Callithrix jacchus: one gene and its partners. Each later gene encodes a partner of the first gene's protein in a complex. Links are inferred from orthologs where the notes say so. Each region holds a gene or a part of one and is shown in the gene's direction. Other genes may lie near its edges.

Region 1 (3,500 bases):
TATCAGTTTCTAAGAACAGTATGCAAGAAGAAGAGGGAGTATATGCATATAGCTTGAAGAGTTTAAACCTCCTTTACTTATATACCCATCAAAATTATTGGCTTTTCTATTAGACTCTTACAACCTGAGACCCTTCTTGGGAAAGAATTGGGTCATTCAGCAGGGATGGGGAGACTTTGTGACATTCAGGTAAGGGAGAAGAGTTGAATCCTCTGGCATTCTGCAGAGAAGAAATCTTGAAGTCAGTAACAGACCTCAGAAGCTCCATGTAAAAAGGACTGATAACAAGCTTTTGGAAGAGTTACAGTATTTTTCCAGTGGTGAGGGGTAAAACATAAGGGTCTTCACAGACTTTTCCTTCAGCTGGTAGTTGTCGTTAAACATGTAACCCTGTCTGTTGTGGTGGCAGGTTTCTTCACAATCTCTCCTAGGGTGCTTTTGAGTATTCAAGAAAATAACCCACTTGAAATACCCAGCATACACTTGGCACTGGGCTGAGATCAGTATTAGTACCTTGCTTTAATTTTCTCCTTATAACCTAGAACCATTTCAGAAAAAGCAAAATGCCACTGAGCAGTTTATTTTCTTTGAACGTTCTTATTGTCATTTCTACACTCCTGTATCATGAGATCTTGACATTCATTCATTCATTCATTACAAGTTCACTCTTCCCTTGTGAGATGCAACAGAAAAGTAGTGGAAGCGGTGACTGAGTATTTTTATTTAGGATTTTGCTGGGCATCGTTCAGGAAAATACACATTTTTAAAACTTGTTTCACTTTTTTTAACATGGTGACTATTCATTTTTTTACCTTTAGGTTAGTATTTCAGAAAAAATATATATAATGGAAAACATTTGAAATCTGAAATTATATAAAATATTTAGTTTCAACATTTGGTTACACATTTGCTAGGTTGTAAACAAGAGACTATAAGAATGGAAACCTTTTTCAATGGTACAAAAATTTCAAGTCACTAAGCTGCTAAGTTGTGGGTTAATTTAAAAAAAAAGGAAAAATTCAAGTCATAATGTGTAAAACACAAATTGTAACTGTAGTAGCATTAGACTTAGTAAATTAGGATTGCAAATGCTAAAATGTGCTATTTGTCATTTAGAAAAAGGCTGGGATTGGTATGTGTGTGAAGGTTTCCAGCACATTCTTTATCAACAAGCAGAAGCCTTAAAGAACCTTGGAGTAGGCCCAGAGTTAAAGGTAAATACATTTGTGACTCGATGCTAATTTTACATACTATTCTTAAAGAACAGTAAGATTTAGAGTGGAACGAAGGAGAAATCAGTAATAATACTAGGGCTGCTGGAAGAATACTTTTTCTGATGTTTTTGCTTTAATCCTTTCAGTAGGCCAGCAATTCTGGAAGTGTGTTCTACAGGATGTAAATAAGCAGTTCATCTGAAAGAAAAATGTAAAGGTTTTAGTCTTCAGGTACTTGGGAAACAACAGGTTAAATAAAGTAAAACTCAAATAACTTTGGGGGTTTATTAGTGCCTTTTTTGTGTTAATGTGCTTGTTTAATTTCCAGGGAACGTCCTGTGTGGTGTTCACAATTTGAGAACAAAATTGTTTGGTGTATGTACATAATGTCTGTCAGGACTCGAGTTCCAGAGAACGTGCTTTGGACAGTGATATGTTAAACCAGTGGTTCACCTGAGTGTGCTCACAATCACCTGGGGGGCTTCATAAAGCACCAGTCACTGGACCTTAGCCCCAGAATTTCTAAGTTAGTAGGTCAGAAGTAGGGCCTAAGAATGTGCATTTCTAATGAGTTCTCAAGGGACACCGATGCTTCCAGTGCAGGGACCAACCACACTTTGACTTTGCTGCCTCCCTGGAGCAACATAGTATTTCTGTAGTTACTTGAATTTCATATTCCTTCATCTAGTACAAGCCATTTCGGGAATGCTTTAAAAAGCCAGTTTTTTAGCAACAAGTTGTTCACTTGCTTCGTATTCTTCATTGGAAACCAACTGTTGAGATATCCAGCCTAGTTGGGGAGAGGGATTTATGCATATGTGAAATGAGTAGACATGAATTTATATGGTGATATACACAAGTGATTTTTTTTAAGATATGGAGTCTTGCTTTGTCACCTAGACTGGAGTGCAGTGGCATGATCTTGGTTCACTGCAACCTCCGCCTCCCACGTTCGAGCAGTTCTCCTGCCTCAGCCTCCTGAGTAGCTGGGGACTATAGGCTTATGCCACTACGCCCTGCTAATTTTTTGTATTTTAGTAGAGACAGGGTTTCACCATGTTACCCAGGCTGGTCTTAAACTCCTGAGTTTAGGCAGTCTGCCTGCTTCGGCCTCCCAAAGTGCTAGGATTACAGGTATGAGCCACCACCTCACTTATAAGTGATATTACTCATAAGTGATATTAAAGGCAAAAAGAGAACAGAGAAAGATCAATGTGGTCTGCAGTCACCAAGGAAATATTCGTAGAGGAAGGAGCCTTTGCTGTTCAAACCGGTGGTTGGGGCAAGCCAAAACAGAACAACCACTCTGATCCTTAATTTACTTAATATGCAAAAGAAAAGGACTCAGCTAGGTGATTTTCATGCTCTTTCCTTCTCTAAAATCTAAAATTAAGAAGGATTTTTTTCTGTGTTTCTCAGGTACCTGATACTATGATGATAGTATAATTCTTTTTTTTTTTTTTTTTTTTTTTTTTTTGTGAGATGGAGTCTTGCTCTGTCCCAGGCTGGAGTGCAGTAATGCGATCTTGGCTCACTGCAATCTCTGCCTCCTGGTTCAAGCGATTCCCCTGCCTCAGCCTCCTGAGTAGCTGGGACTACAGGTGTGCACCACTATGCCTGACTAATTTTTTGTATTTTAGTTGAGACAGGGTTCACCATGTTGGCCAGGATGGTCTCAATCTTCAGACCTTGTGATCTGCCTGCCTTGGCCTCCGAAAGGATTACAGGCGTGAGCCACTGCTCCTGGCCTACTATAATTCTTTTTAAGGAAAAGCAGGTAGGAAGACATTTAGATGGAAGCCTGAACCAGCCCTCCAGGTGATTCTGACACACACTCAAGCTCGAGAACCACTGGTTTAACATATCAGTCCCCAATGTGCATTTTATGGGACTCAGGTTTTGATAGATGCTATGTATAGACACCGAAGATTTTGTTCTCAAATTGTAAATATGGTATATAACATTTCCTGGAAATTGATATGTACATTAATGTGTAAAGTACAAGAGAACTGTGGTATAGATATGCCTGCACATTTGTCGTCATAACCTGAATCACCCACCACTCATTTCCCTTCCACCTTAGAATGACGTTTTACATAATTTTTGGAAGCGCTACCTTCAGAAGAGCAAGCAGGCATATTGTAAGAACCCAGTTTATACCACTGGAAGGAAACCTACGGTAAGTCACACGTCAGAAAAGTTGGACTAAAAGACATGTCTAGTGAGATGTAGAGATGAAGATGGGTCCACGACCAGTTTGAGTATCTGGGATTATGATCCTTGTCA
Region 2 (4,004 bases), on another chromosome or scaffold:
ACCTGGGGAGGCGGGTTGCAGTGAACTGAGAGCCCGCCACTGCCCTCAAGCCTAGGCCACAGAGCTAGACTCTGTCTCAAAAAAAAGGGAAAGAAAGAAAGAGAGAGAGAGCGCGCGTGGGAGGGAGGGAGGAAGGGAGGGAAGGAGAAAAGGAAAGAAAGAAAGACAAAATGTGAAACATTTCAGTGATTCTGCATTGTGAGTTAAATGTTACAGCTAGGCTTGGTTGAGTACAGCAGTGAGTGACATGTCATACCAGTCCTGGAGCTTAGTCACGGCACAGACCCTGTGGATCAAATGCAGAGGACTCCCTAAGGGATTGGACTTTTTATACCTGGAATTGTCCAACTTATGGCACAAAGTAGGGTAAAGAGACCAGATTACTTTTAAGGCCCGTCCAATCCTAAAATGACGTGCACTGTAAATTAAGACTAGACAGCTCTAATGGCTTTACTGGTTTATCATAGGAAAAAAAGATTTGAAAGCAGAAAAATCAAACCAGTTCATTAAAATTACTTTGGGAGGGAAAAAAAACCCACGAAACTACTCAGGAACCGGTTTAGGAACTAGGGGTGAGCGGGAGCAGAAGGAACCTCAGGAAAAAGAAATCCTCTACTGGTCTCGTTTGTGACTTGTTAGCCAACTTCCGGGAGGCAGAAAGGGGAGGTCACGAAACAGGTGCAAAAGTGGGCGTGCTATGGAGTAACACTGGCGTCCAGCCCAAAAGTTACACACCTGGAGTCATGGTCAAAGGATGAGCCTTCCCAGTATTTTAACACACAAAGGTGTCTGAAGGCAAAAGCAGACCCAAACACGCACATATCCCACCCGCCACCCTCGCCACACACCCGGGACCAGGTTTAGAAAGCCAGGCGACAGCTCAGCAAATGCGAGCCACCGGAAACAAACCGGGCTTCTCGCAGTTCTTACCCACTCCTAATTGTCCTCATGTTTTCTTTTTGTTATTTGCCGAAATGTTCTTGGCTCTTCCACTCACCGAATCGGTCACGGAAACCCACAACAGAGCAGAGTCCTGATCTTCGCTTCGGCCAACCCCGCCTCCTCAGATAACGCGAGCTGAAGCTCCGCCTACGTTAGCCGCTCCTCCCCGCGCGGCGAGAAAAATGGCTATCCTGCTTCCTGTCCTCCTTCCGTCGCTCGCCTTCTTCCCGGGTGCTAAGTTGTATCGCGAGATTTCGGCCTCGCTATTACCTGGGCCGCGGGGATTGCTCACCCTTTTTTTCTGCGCGGTTGGAAGACGCAAGGTGGTTCTCGGGAGTTGGAGAACTGAGGTCGGGATATTGGTGAGTGCAGGTCTTCAGGACTCACGCAGCAGGCCAGTCGCGGGTTTTTGGCCAGAAGCCTGGGTTACAGTCACCAAGTGCGCAGTTAGGGCCGGCGTGAGGCGGTTTTGGGTAGGTAGACGTGGGCAAGGCCGTCCGGCCCTGGCAGCCGGGTGAGGCGTTACAGATATGGGTTTTTTCGGGGCCCCAGCGTTGGTCCGGAGGATCGAGTCTCGGAGGTAGGGCGGAGAGGGTGAAGGGTTCGCAGCTCAGGCCCCTCAGCGCCAAGCGGCTGGAGGCCCACACAAACGCAACTGTAGTGTGGGCGGCCTTCATTATATCTTGAGATGGAGGTGTTAAAATGTGTTGTGAACGAGTTTAACTTCCTTACGTGGTTTAAATGATTTAACCTTCATATATGGGAGACAGCCATTACTAGTGCCGGTTTCCTTGAGGTAAGGCGCTGCGGGGAGAGACGCGCTGGTGATAACGGTGATAGCTCCGGGTAAAGCGCCGCTCTCTGACCACGAGACCTCTTAGGAATCGCTAAATCCCGGCAGAGGCATCGACACCTAAGTAGGATGTGTTCCGAAAAACTTAGAGAAAGTGATTATTGAGCTAGCTTTCTTTTGATAATCCCTATTTAAAAAAAAAAAAAAGCAGGTATACCATTAATGCATGGGACCAAATTATTGAATTCGGTTTTTGAGCATTCGATACTTAATGACTTCGTAGAATCTTGTGCTTAAGAAACTAAAACTACAAGATGTTCTAACAGGAAATTACCACAGGGGTCCGTTGGGCATTTAAGAAATCTGAGCTCTTGGTGACCTTATCGTTTTCCTATATTTGAAATATTTTGCTAGTTTATCCTAGGATTTATATGTAGTGACTCATGTCGGGTCCTAAGAAACTACGGAATGAAACAAGAGAATGACTAAGGCTAAGACAGTAGTGAAATAAGTAGTTACCTTTATTGTTTATTTTTGTTGCCAAGCCTATTTTTTTCCCCCATTTTTTTTTTTTTTTTTTTTGAGATAGGGTCTTGCTCTGTCGTCCAGGCTGGAGTGCACTGGTGCAATCTCGGCTCACTGCAAAGCGATCCTCCGGCATGGCTGGGAGCACAGCCACAGGCCACCACACCAGGCCAGTATTTTAAGAATTTTTTTTTTTTATAGAGACAGGGGCTCCTTGTGTTGCTGAGGCCCACTACAAACAACCTCCATCTCCCAGGCTCAGGTAATCGACCTACCTCAATACCTCAGCCTCCTTATTGGGACCATAGGCGCGTACCATCAACATGGCTAATTTTTGTATTTTTTGTAGAGACTGGGTCTTGTTGGTCTTGAGCTCCTGGGTTCAAGTGATCCGCCCGCCTCGACTTCCCAAAGTGCTGGGTTACACAGGCATGAGCCATCCTGACCAGCCTGTTTTTCTTACAAGAAGGAATCGTTTTCTTTTTTTTGTATGTTGCCTTTTTTTTTTTTTGTATGTTGTATACTCTACTATGGAGATGAAGAGACAGAATTATGATAGTTTATCGAAAAAGGTTGAGAATTCAGAATTTGTCAGTTTCCACCAATAATGGCAAAGATACAGTATGACGAAATTAAGTTACTTAAATGAATCTAGGAATGAATGAGGAATCTTAGAATTTAAAATGGTCTATTGAATTTGATCAGGAGTTTAAAATGGTCTATTGAATGGAGATCGTTTTCCTGGTTTATTATATAGGGCACATTTTGCCTTAGCAATTCCCCTTCGATGTAGGAAAATGGCTTTTAATTGTACATTAATACTGTGTTGGTAATTATATGTTAATATGTGGCTAATGATAAAACTTCATATTGAAAGAGGCTTTTGTCCACCTTGTCTTTTTTGGAATCTTGTTTCATTGAATAGATTTAGAGGGTAAAAACTGAAAATCTGGAAATAGAATTTCTGGATTTTTTTTTTATATAGAAATTGATCTGAAGTGGATAAGCAGCTTAAGCCTGGTAAATGATTTTGTCCAAAATGAATGGCATAGTCTGACTGTGTTGAACATTATAGTAGATACCGTGTCAATATTTAGGGAAGCTTTGTCACATTTACTAAATTTCACAATTTCAGAAAACTTTAAAACAAAGAACAACTGATGGATAAATCAGGAATCGATTCTCTTGACTATGTGACATCTGATGCTATGGAACCTGCAAATCAAAGGTAAGTGGGTTTTTACTGGAGAACTGAGTAGATCCAGTCATATTTATTATATCTGAATTACTTTGAGAAACTAAATTATTATATATAATGAATGACAGTGAAGATAATTTTCGGGAATTGGGAAAGAAGGAAAACCAGATTTCACTGACCTTCCATGTTTATCTAGTTTATATAGATTGATATAATACTATTGCAAATAATTTTAATTTAAAAAATGAATATATTCTAATGGGACACATTCTTAGAGAAAAAGTTTATTCTTTGGGTCTCTTCTGGACTACATCATCCTGTTTTTGTATGGCAGGCTGTGTTTTTTTGTATTTTTTTTGTTTTTTATTTTCGTTTTATCTTTTTTTTTTTTTCATTTTTGGCAGGCTCTCTTTTACTCAGGCGTTTTTAGCAGTGAATCATACAGTCTTGGTTGAGCTCATACATTATCTTGAAAGATACATGATTTTTTTTTGAGATGGAGCTTCGTTCTTGTTACCCAGGCTGGAGTGCAATGGTGCGATCTCG
Region 3 (4,245 bases), on another chromosome or scaffold:
AGAGAAAATAGTGATGGCTTAATTATTCACAAGTGATCTTAGTTATTTATAGGTGATCTTAATTCTTTTACTAATGCCTCTCAGGTCTCAGGCCGGAAAGTGAGAACCTGGGGTGACATTGTGAGGGCAATGACCCTAAAGCAAGACGCTTTACAGCAGCTATGCCTGCATAAGGGCGACTAGGGCCGCCTCTGCTGTGCTACCGCGTCAGCACTGAGAAAATGCCCGCTGTTGAGCCAGCTAGGGAAGGAGGCGTCCAAAGCTGGCTGAGACGTCTCATTCACCGGGGGAGTTAAGCGAAAACTCCACTCCTCCAATCTCTTGCCTTAGGCCTGACAGCTGTCAGGTAGACCCACAGGCATCCGGGGGCTTATTTGTCTCTATGTGATGCTGTGCTTCAGTGGTCACATTCCATGTCCACTCTCATGTCCTACTTCTGTACCAGGTTCCTATTTTCTTAGAAGAGATAATCAGTAAGAGTAATATAAACTTAATGTCTTTGTTCTTTCTTAACAAGTATGGAAAAGTGCTAACGCATTAGGCTCCTTGCCTCATCCCGGCTCCTAGAAATTCCTGGGTCCGTACCTGTATGATATGTGATGTACTTGACCCTATCACTGCTACGCCCCATCTACCTTTCCCCTGGTTGCTGACCACCAACCACCAATGCCACACCTACTTACCCTGCCCTCAGCTTTGTACTCAAAAAAAGTCAGAATGCGCAGACACGACCGGGGCCACTGCCGGACTCCGCGATCTGGCTGGCAGTGAACCCCCCCCACCCCACGCCACCCCACCCAAACTTTCTATCTCTGTGTCTTATGTCTTTTATTTCTGGTTTCTTTTCTCCACACCAACAGAGAGGGGCTCACAGAACCCTGTAGGGCTGGACCCTGTACCTCCTGACTTCACCCTCACCACTTGCGGTCCCTCAAGAATCCGACTTACCCCTTACAAGCGGCGAACTGTTCCCAAAGCACACAAGGCTAGTTGCGCTCTGCTGAAAGCCCACGTTCTCCAGCGGGACCCAAGGAACACTAAAACTGTACGTCCCAGAACACTTAGCTTTCTTTTTAACTACTCTGCAGCCGCAAAAGGGAAAAACCTGCTCAGGATCAGGGATAGTTGTAGTTCTCTAATCCAAAGAAATCAGTATTCAGCAAAATACAGTTTTCAGGGGGATATCTCCCGGGACTCGGTTCCTGTAGGATGTGAGACAAAGAATAAATATCCGAGGATTGGGTACTGGTGGGAAAATTTGCTGGAAGCGCAGCATTGGCTACGAATTTTGTGCTCAACGTCTCAGCACTAGGGTGAAAGTGAAGCCGCAAACTCCCTTCGGAGAGGTTAGGCTCCATCTCTAAGGCTCCCGAGACAAGGTTCGCAATTATTTATGACGTCACAACCAATTGTCAGCCCGAATGCGTGACGCTCTAGCCGGCTCTAGCTCGCCGCTGAGCGGCGGGCGTAGAGCTGCCGCTCTAGCCCATGGAGTTGGCTCGCTCCTCTCGCCGGCCCCAGGAAAGGGTTGCAAGTCCTTTACTACCCGACGCTAGCTGGTAAGCCATTCCGGGCGTTTCAGCTCCCTGGTCACAGAGGCAGGAGGCGTGCGTGGGAGGAGAGCTCGGGTTATATACTCCCAGGTACTGGGACAGAACTGTTATGACCTCTGTGTTGGGGGGATTCCTCTCTTTTTGTTAATATAACTTCTAACTCCCTCTTCAGGCCTGACCGCATATGCGTCATGGACCTAGCCAGCACTTGCTCCAGCTTTCAGTCGGACTTGGATTTCTGTTCAGAGTGCGGCTCGGTCCTGCCTCTGCCAGGGGCTCAGGATACGGTTACCTGTACTCGCTGTGGCTTCAACATCAACGTTCGGGGTGAGAGGCTTGTACGCAGTGGTCCTGGCGGAGGGTCCAGGGTCGGAAACTTGGGGACCTCAAGATCGGCAGGGGACCCTAGAGCAGGAGATCAGGCAATTGTACATTTGGTCTCGAGATGAAAAATGAAGGAAAGGATATAGGGCTTCCTGGCCTAACCAGTCAGGGGAAAGGGGAGGTTTCCGGTGTCAGCTCCCTCTGGTTGTCTCCATAACCAGTTCTTACTTGCCTGTGCAGACTTTGAGGGGAAGGTTGTGAAGACTTCAGTTGTGTTCCACCAGCTGGGGACAGCCATGCCTGTGTCGGTGGAGGAAGGGCCTGAGTTCCAGGGACCTGTGGTAAGTTAATGAGCTCAATGACTGGCTCCATAAGGTGGGTAGGAAAGAAACGGAGGAATGATTGCAGAGATCTGGAGAGTTGTGTGCCCAAGTCCAAGAGGGAAAAGAGATGTAAAGCATCCATGTTTGAGAGGAGTGATCGCCTGATTCCTGTGGGAAGTGAGGGGATATGAACTGGCCTCCCTAACCCACCGGTTTCTTCCCAGGTTGACAGGCGCTGCTCTCGATGTGGTCATGAAGGAATGGCTTACCACACCAGACAGATGCGTTCAGCAGACGAAGGGCAAACTGTCTTCTACACCTGTACCAACTGCAAGTGGGCATCCCTTCCCCTCCCTCTGCTCAGTCTGTTTGCTAACTAAACAAATCCAGTGATTCTGTTGTTGTTGTTCTAAACCACCATTTCCTTTCGTCCCATTTCTGTGCAGTTCTGGTAATAAGAACATTTGTGGTTGGTTTTTTTTTTTTATTTTTTTTATTACACTTTTTTCTTTTTTTTTTAGTAGAGATGGGATTTCTCTGTGTTTCCCAGGCTGGTCTTGAACTCCTGAGCTCAAGCGATCCACCCACCTCAGCCTCCCAAAGGGCTGGGATTACAGGCATGAGCTACCCTGTCTGACCTACTTTTAGGATATATAAAAGGAAATGAAAAAACAAACAAACAAAAAACATAAGAAGCAGGTATTGTTTAGTGGTCGGCATCTTATACTGCAGTCTTCAACTGCAGTCAAGGTAGCTTTACATTGGAGAAAATTAGTCACGCACGATTTAGGGAACATGGGCTTTCTGAATTATTTTAAGACATCATCTTTGTCTTTGGTGTCCTTCAGTCACTACAGTATATAAAAATGTGATTTTTTAAAAATTCCGTTTGGGATTTGTTGCACTTTCTGAAACTGAGAGTGAATTTTTTTTTTTTTTAATCAGCCTTGGAAAATTATCAGCTATCATCTCATTTAATATTGCCTTTCCCCCATGTTCCCAGTCCTCACATTCTGGACCTCTAATTAGTTACAAGAAGAGAGGTGTCTCTTTTGTCCTCCATTTCTCTCACCCTCTTTTCATATTTCAATCGCTTTTCTCTTTATGCCACCTTCTGGGTAATTTCTTCAGGTCCCTCTTCCATGTCACTAATTCTGTCTTCAGTTTATTTTAAATATTATTTTTTATTATTGCTATTACTTTGAATTCTATTTACTTTTCAAATCTCCTCAATTTTTAAATAATTTTCAGTTCCTTAATCATATTTTAAATTGTTCATTCTTTATATATTTAAAATATTAATTATGGTTATTATAGTCTATGTCTCATAATTCTGATATCCATGGATTTTGTCTTCTGATGCTGCTGTCTTTTGTTTCTGCTCTCTCATGGTGCCTTTTTTCTGTTTTGTGATTTTGTCTATAAATTTGAGTTTTTTAGAACTTGAACTGTAGGAATTCTTTGAGACCTTGAGTGAGTGCTGTATTCTCAGCATTTGCATTTCTTTTCCTTGAAGCACTATCAAGCTGGAATTACTTTAAATAAATTCTTGGCTTCATGTTTTTTGGAGCAGACAGATAGTATGAATTTGAGCTGCAAATCCACGTAAGGGTTAGCTTATGGTTAGAAATTCTCAGGAGAGAGTTTTCTCTCCTGCCTACTAAGACAAATTCCCCTTCTATAGAGTTGAATTTTTTCTTTTCTTGTTCACTTTTACAAAAAAGGGCAGCTCTTTGCAGTTCCCAAATTTATGCAGGGAATCTCCTATCAGACCTTTTACATTTTGTCCCTCATTTCCTATGCTTTCAGTGACCGTCATAACAGTATTAAGGGCACCATAGTGTCACGTTTCATTGGGACTTCAGTTTTCACTGTCTGGATTTCTGGTTTTGCATAACTTTTACCAGTGTGAAGTTTGCCTTTACTTTCTCACCATCTCATCAATGGATTAAAAATATTCACAGTCAGATATATCTTTTAAGAGTATTTTTTCCTATCGCTGGTTGTCATTTTACCAAAAAAAAAAAAAAAAAAAGATTTTTTTT
Region 4 (3,947 bases), on another chromosome or scaffold:
TTTCCTCTGAGAAGGGGAGGCAAAGACAGACAACCACGGCCATGGCAGTGCAAGGGTGGGCGGTGGACCCCGTCCAGGCTTTTCATCACCCGCCTGCAGGATAGTGAACCGGGGGAAGTCTCGGTGGCGGTTGCCCCGCTGCCGCCCGGGCAGTGAGGCCGGGGTGCCGAGCTCCCCTCGCGGCTGCCCGCCGCCGCCGGGGGGCAGCGCCTGCGGCCTGCTTTCCCAGGGCTGGCCGAACCTTTTTGACAAACTGATTGCGTGGCGGGGATTGGCTGGTCGGGGCGTGACGCCGGTAACAACAAAGGTGGAGTTGGAAGAAATTAGATTAAAGGAGAGGAAAAAAATTAAAGGGGGAGCTGGCAGAGGACAGGAGGTAGAGACCGAGGGGGAGATTCGCGAAGCGGTGTCTCTCCCGGTTCCGACTACTCCACGCCCCAACCCCAGAAGATTCCTCGCACAAACCCACTGGGATTTTGCTCTTTCCCCCACCCCGGCCCAGTGGCCGATGCCGGGGTAGCAAGGATAGCCGCTGCTTCTTGAAAAATCCCGAAACTCCCACCCTGACACCCCTCACTACGAGCTAAGGAGAGAACTTTTTGCTCGGACTCCTCGGATCCTAAACCCAGCGAAGAGGGGAACATTGAGAAGCTCGTCCTAAAACCCGGAAGGCCCTCGCGGAGCACGGAGATCGGATAAGGCCGGGTGCTCCCATGGTTTTCCGATGTGTTGCAAATCTAAGAGCTTCTTTCTCGCTTTTTTTTTCCTGTAACTCCCCCCCCCGCCCCATTTTGCTTCTGGGTTGCAAAAGCAAAGAGCAATAAAAAAAAAAAAAACGCGCACACACTCAGACACACACCAGTGGCGACATGGGAGAGAGTTGGAAAGACGCAGGAGAGAGAAGCAGGAGGCAGGAAGCAGCGGGGATGGAGCAATGGGAGCGGGAAGGAGGCAGGTTTTCTCGCAAATCCCCCTCCGGCCTCAAGCCGTCTCGCCAGCCCCGGCAGGGGAGCGAGGAGCCGGGCGAACAGATGGAGGAGTGGAGCTCGCTCTAGGCAGCTGGGCTTGGCCGGAGAATGGAGGAGCCACCAAGCGACCGGCTGATTGGAAGAGAAACGCAGAGCGATGGAGGCGGGGGTAGGAGGACGATTTCTCTGCGGGGACTGGCGGCGGCGTACACGCCCGGGTCGGGCGCTGCAGAGCTTGGCTGGCTTTCAAGCCGCGCTCGCCGGCTCCAGCTCCGTGCGCCCCCCACTACTAGCCCTCCCGGCGGCTCCGCAGGTGAGTGCGAGCTGGGGGCAGAAAGATCCAAAAGTCTCAACACGCCCGCCCTGCAAAAAAGAAAAAAAAAAAAAAAAAAAAAAGGAAAGGAAAAAAAGCATTTTTCTTAAAAAAAAAAAAAAAAAATTTTCTGTGCAACCCCTAGAGCAGTGGGAGGGAAGGGGTGAGGCTGAGCAGCCCGGAGGAGGCGGAGGGGCCAGGCGAGGCCGCCGTGGCCCGGGAGGCGGCGGCGCCGAGGCGGCTCTGACGGGCAAGCGCTTGGAGCGGCGCTGCGCTGCGCCGAGGCGGGCGGGCGGGCGGGCGGAGCGGGGCGGGCGGAGCGCGGCGCGTGGGGCTCGCCATTAGCCGTCGCTCCGCTTCGCCATCTCGGGCTTTGTCTGGCGACTTGCTGCCCCGGCGTCGGCTGCAGCGGAGCTGCGGCTCGGCTATTCGGACCGCCGCGCCCCCAGGTGCCCCCAGCCCGCGCTCCCATCCACACGCTCGGTAAGTGAGCCCGGGCGCCGCGGATTTCGGGGGAGAGGGGTCGCTACGAGTGGCGGTGGCGCCGATCTCCATGCGCCCGGGCAGGCCTGGGGAGCCATGCCGGGCTGGATTGAACCGGCTCCCAGAGCGGCTTCTCCGCCGAAGCCCGTCGTTCCTTCGCCGTTTCCGGGGTGTAAAGAGCAATGGGGATTTTTTTTTTTTTTAATGCAGAGGTTTTAGTTTTTTGTTTTTTTTTTTTTTTAAGTTTCGTATGTGCCGTTCGGCAGTGAGGACCGCAAGGTAGGCACTGAAGCCGGGCGCCGCGATCGGCGTGCGTGCGCCCCAAGCCAGTGACCACGCTCTGGGGGATGAGGGTGTGCGCGGACCGCTCGCTCCGGGAGGCGGGAAAAAGCTGGCCTGGAAGCCCTAGTCTGAGCTGGGAGGACTTGGGGGAGAGCTCCGGAGCAGAGCTGTGGGCGCCCCCCGAGCCTCTCCAGCCGCCGGGGGCCCCTTTGGGCACCCTCTCCGCCGCCGCACCTCGGCCCTCCCTCTAGTGCCGGAGGAGCCTGTTAGTTCCCCCGCGGGTCTGGCGAGGTCGCTCTCGGCGCCCGCCCGCCCCGGCTCCGAGCTCCGCCGCCATCCGGGCGGCTGCGTGTCTCCCTGCCCCGGCCCCCCCCCCCGCCCGGCGGCAGCAGCAGCAGCCGCCGCCGCCGCCGCCGCCACCACCACCACCACCCCCCTCCCCTCCTTCCTTCCCTCCGCCTCGGCCGCCCGGGTCCCCCCAGCTCCCGCCCCTCCTCCCAGCTGCCCCCCGCGGAGCCCGCCCGGGCAGGCTGTGGGAGGGAGCGGAGCCGGCGAGGCGGGCGGGCTGGCGCTCGCTCCCCGGGGGTCGGTGTGCGCTCTACGGGGAAGGACGCGCTCGCTGCCCCGCTTCTCCCGCCCCCCCTCCCGCTCCTCCTCCTCCCTTCTCCCTCCTCCTCCCCGCTCCGGCGGCTGAGGCTGCGGCGGCGGCGGGGGGTGTGCGAGCTGAGGCCGGGGCCGGCGGCGGGCGGGCTGCCTGCAGGCGGAGGGCGCTGTGCTTTGTGCTTTTCGCCGCGAGGAGCAGCAGGCAGCAGCCACAGCCGCCGCCACAGCCACAGCAGCAGCAGCCGCCGCCCCAGCGCCGCCGCCTCGCCCGGAGGAGGAGCCGCTGCCGCCGCGGGAGGGAGCTGCGGCTGTGCCCGGCCGAGCGGGGGAGGGCGCCGCCGCTCAGAGCCGGGGAGGGAGCCGCCGGAGCGGGAAGCCCGGAGGCCGCTCTGCGCCGGGTAACCGAGGCGGCTGAGGACGCGCGCTAGGGTCGGGGCCTGACGGCAGGGAGCGAACCGCAGGGTGCGGTGGGCGCCCGGCTGGGAACCGGAGCAGGGGACCGGGCGCGAGCAGACCAGGGCACTGGGGAGGACGCCGAAAGCCGGGGGAGGGGAGGGCAGGAAGCGTGGCCCGAGCCGAGACCTGGCCGCTGGCGGAGGAGCCCGCGCTTCTCGGAGCCGGCAGGCGCAGTTCTCCCCGGCCGCCGGAGGGGGCGGCGGGGCCGGTGAGCGCTGCGCCCCCGCCTCCCGGCCGCCGTCCTCCCGCCCTCTGCTTGGCTCGGCTCCCCGGAGGCCAGGGCGGGGGCGCCGGCGGGGCTGGGCCGCAGGCTCGGGGGAGGAGGCGGCGGTTCCCGCCGCGGTCGCGCCTCTGCGCCGGGCTCCTCCGTGCGAGTCGGGGTGGCTGGGCGGCGGCGGCGCCTCTGGCCGGGGTAGGTGGCTCGGGGCGGGGGGCAGGCTAGGCCGCTTCTCTCCAGCTGCTCGCCCGCCTGAGCGGGCGGGGAAGGCGATGGGAGCCCGGGAGGGGGGAGCGGTGGGAATCCGAATCCGGTCCCCGGGGGCGGTGCGGCCGTTGCGCTCCGGGGCTGGCGGCGGCTGCGCTGCGTCCGGGTCCCCGCCGGGTTGCGGAGGCGGGGGGAACCGGCCGGGGGGAGGCGAGAGGAGGAGACTGGGGCGCGTGCCCGCTTCCGTGGTCGCGCGCGCCCTTTACCCGCCCTTCCTCCTCCCCCGCCCTCCAGCCTGGGGCCTCCCCGGGGCGGGCGCTCAGAGGAGGAGGAGTTTTTTTTGGCCAGGGTTGGGGAAGGAGGGCGGAGGGCGGGCGCTTGCTGCACGCGGGAGCTGGGAGCAGGCTCTCGCGTGGGC

Evidence for each region.
Region 2: TAF1B (region 1) and TAF1D share a complex: the UniProt entries of both Homo sapiens proteins name them as parts of the transcription factor SL1/TIF-IB complex. The link is inferred for Callithrix jacchus from reciprocal best matches to the Homo sapiens genes TAF1B and TAF1D.
Region 3: TAF1B (region 1) and POLR1H share a complex: the UniProt entries of both Homo sapiens proteins name them as parts of the pol I pre-initiation complex. The link is inferred for Callithrix jacchus from reciprocal best matches to the Homo sapiens genes TAF1B and POLR1H.
Region 4: TAF1B (region 1) and UBTF share a complex: the UniProt entries of both Homo sapiens proteins name them as parts of the pol I pre-initiation complex. The link is inferred for Callithrix jacchus from reciprocal best matches to the Homo sapiens genes TAF1B and UBTF.

Annotation. Positions count from the first base shown.
Region 1 is NC_133515.1:105,121,621-105,125,120, reverse strand, and holds part of TAF1B (TATA box-binding protein-associated factor RNA polymerase I subunit B), read left to right. Parts: intron 1-1,116; coding exon 1,117-1,214; intron 1,215-3,297; coding exon 3,298-3,393; intron 3,394-3,500. UniProt on the Homo sapiens protein: Component of RNA polymerase I core factor complex that acts as a GTF2B/TFIIB-like factor and plays a key role in multiple steps during transcription initiation such as pre-initiation complex (PIC) assembly and postpolymerase recruitment events in polymerase I (Pol I) transcription.
Region 2 is NC_133511.1:46,622,432-46,626,435, forward strand, and holds the start of TAF1D (TATA box-binding protein-associated factor RNA polymerase I subunit D), read left to right. Parts: upstream 1-1,204; 5' UTR 1,205-1,304; exon of another isoform or gene 1,305-1,415; intron 1,416-2,324; 5' UTR 2,325-2,429; intron 2,430-3,395; 5' UTR 3,396-3,420; coding exon 3,421-3,488; intron 3,489-4,004. UniProt on the Homo sapiens protein: Component of the transcription factor SL1/TIF-IB complex, which is involved in the assembly of the PIC (preinitiation complex) during RNA polymerase I-dependent transcription.
Region 3 is NC_133505.1:34,798,474-34,802,718, forward strand, and holds the start of POLR1H (DNA-directed RNA polymerase I subunit RPA12), read left to right. Parts: upstream 1-1,445; 5' UTR 1,446-1,488; coding exon 1,489-1,559; exon of another isoform or gene 1,560-1,725; coding exon 1,726-1,880; exon of another isoform or gene 1,881-1,958; intron 1,959-2,117; coding exon 2,118-2,218; intron 2,219-2,424; coding exon 2,425-2,534; intron 2,535-4,245. UniProt on the Homo sapiens protein: Core component of RNA polymerase I (Pol I), a DNA-dependent RNA polymerase which synthesizes ribosomal RNA precursors using the four ribonucleoside triphosphates as substrates. Can mediate Pol I proofreading of the nascent RNA transcript.
Region 4 is NC_133506.1:71,070,974-71,074,920, reverse strand, and holds the start of UBTF (nucleolar transcription factor 1), read left to right. Parts: upstream 1-1,147; 5' UTR 1,148-1,281; intron 1,282-1,649; exon of another isoform or gene 1,650-1,764; intron 1,765-2,008; 5' UTR 2,009-2,043; intron 2,044-2,993; exon of another isoform or gene 2,994-3,111; intron 3,112-3,376; exon of another isoform or gene 3,377-3,517; intron 3,518-3,947. UniProt on the Homo sapiens protein: Recognizes the ribosomal RNA gene promoter and activates transcription mediated by RNA polymerase I (Pol I) through cooperative interactions with the transcription factor SL1/TIF-IB complex.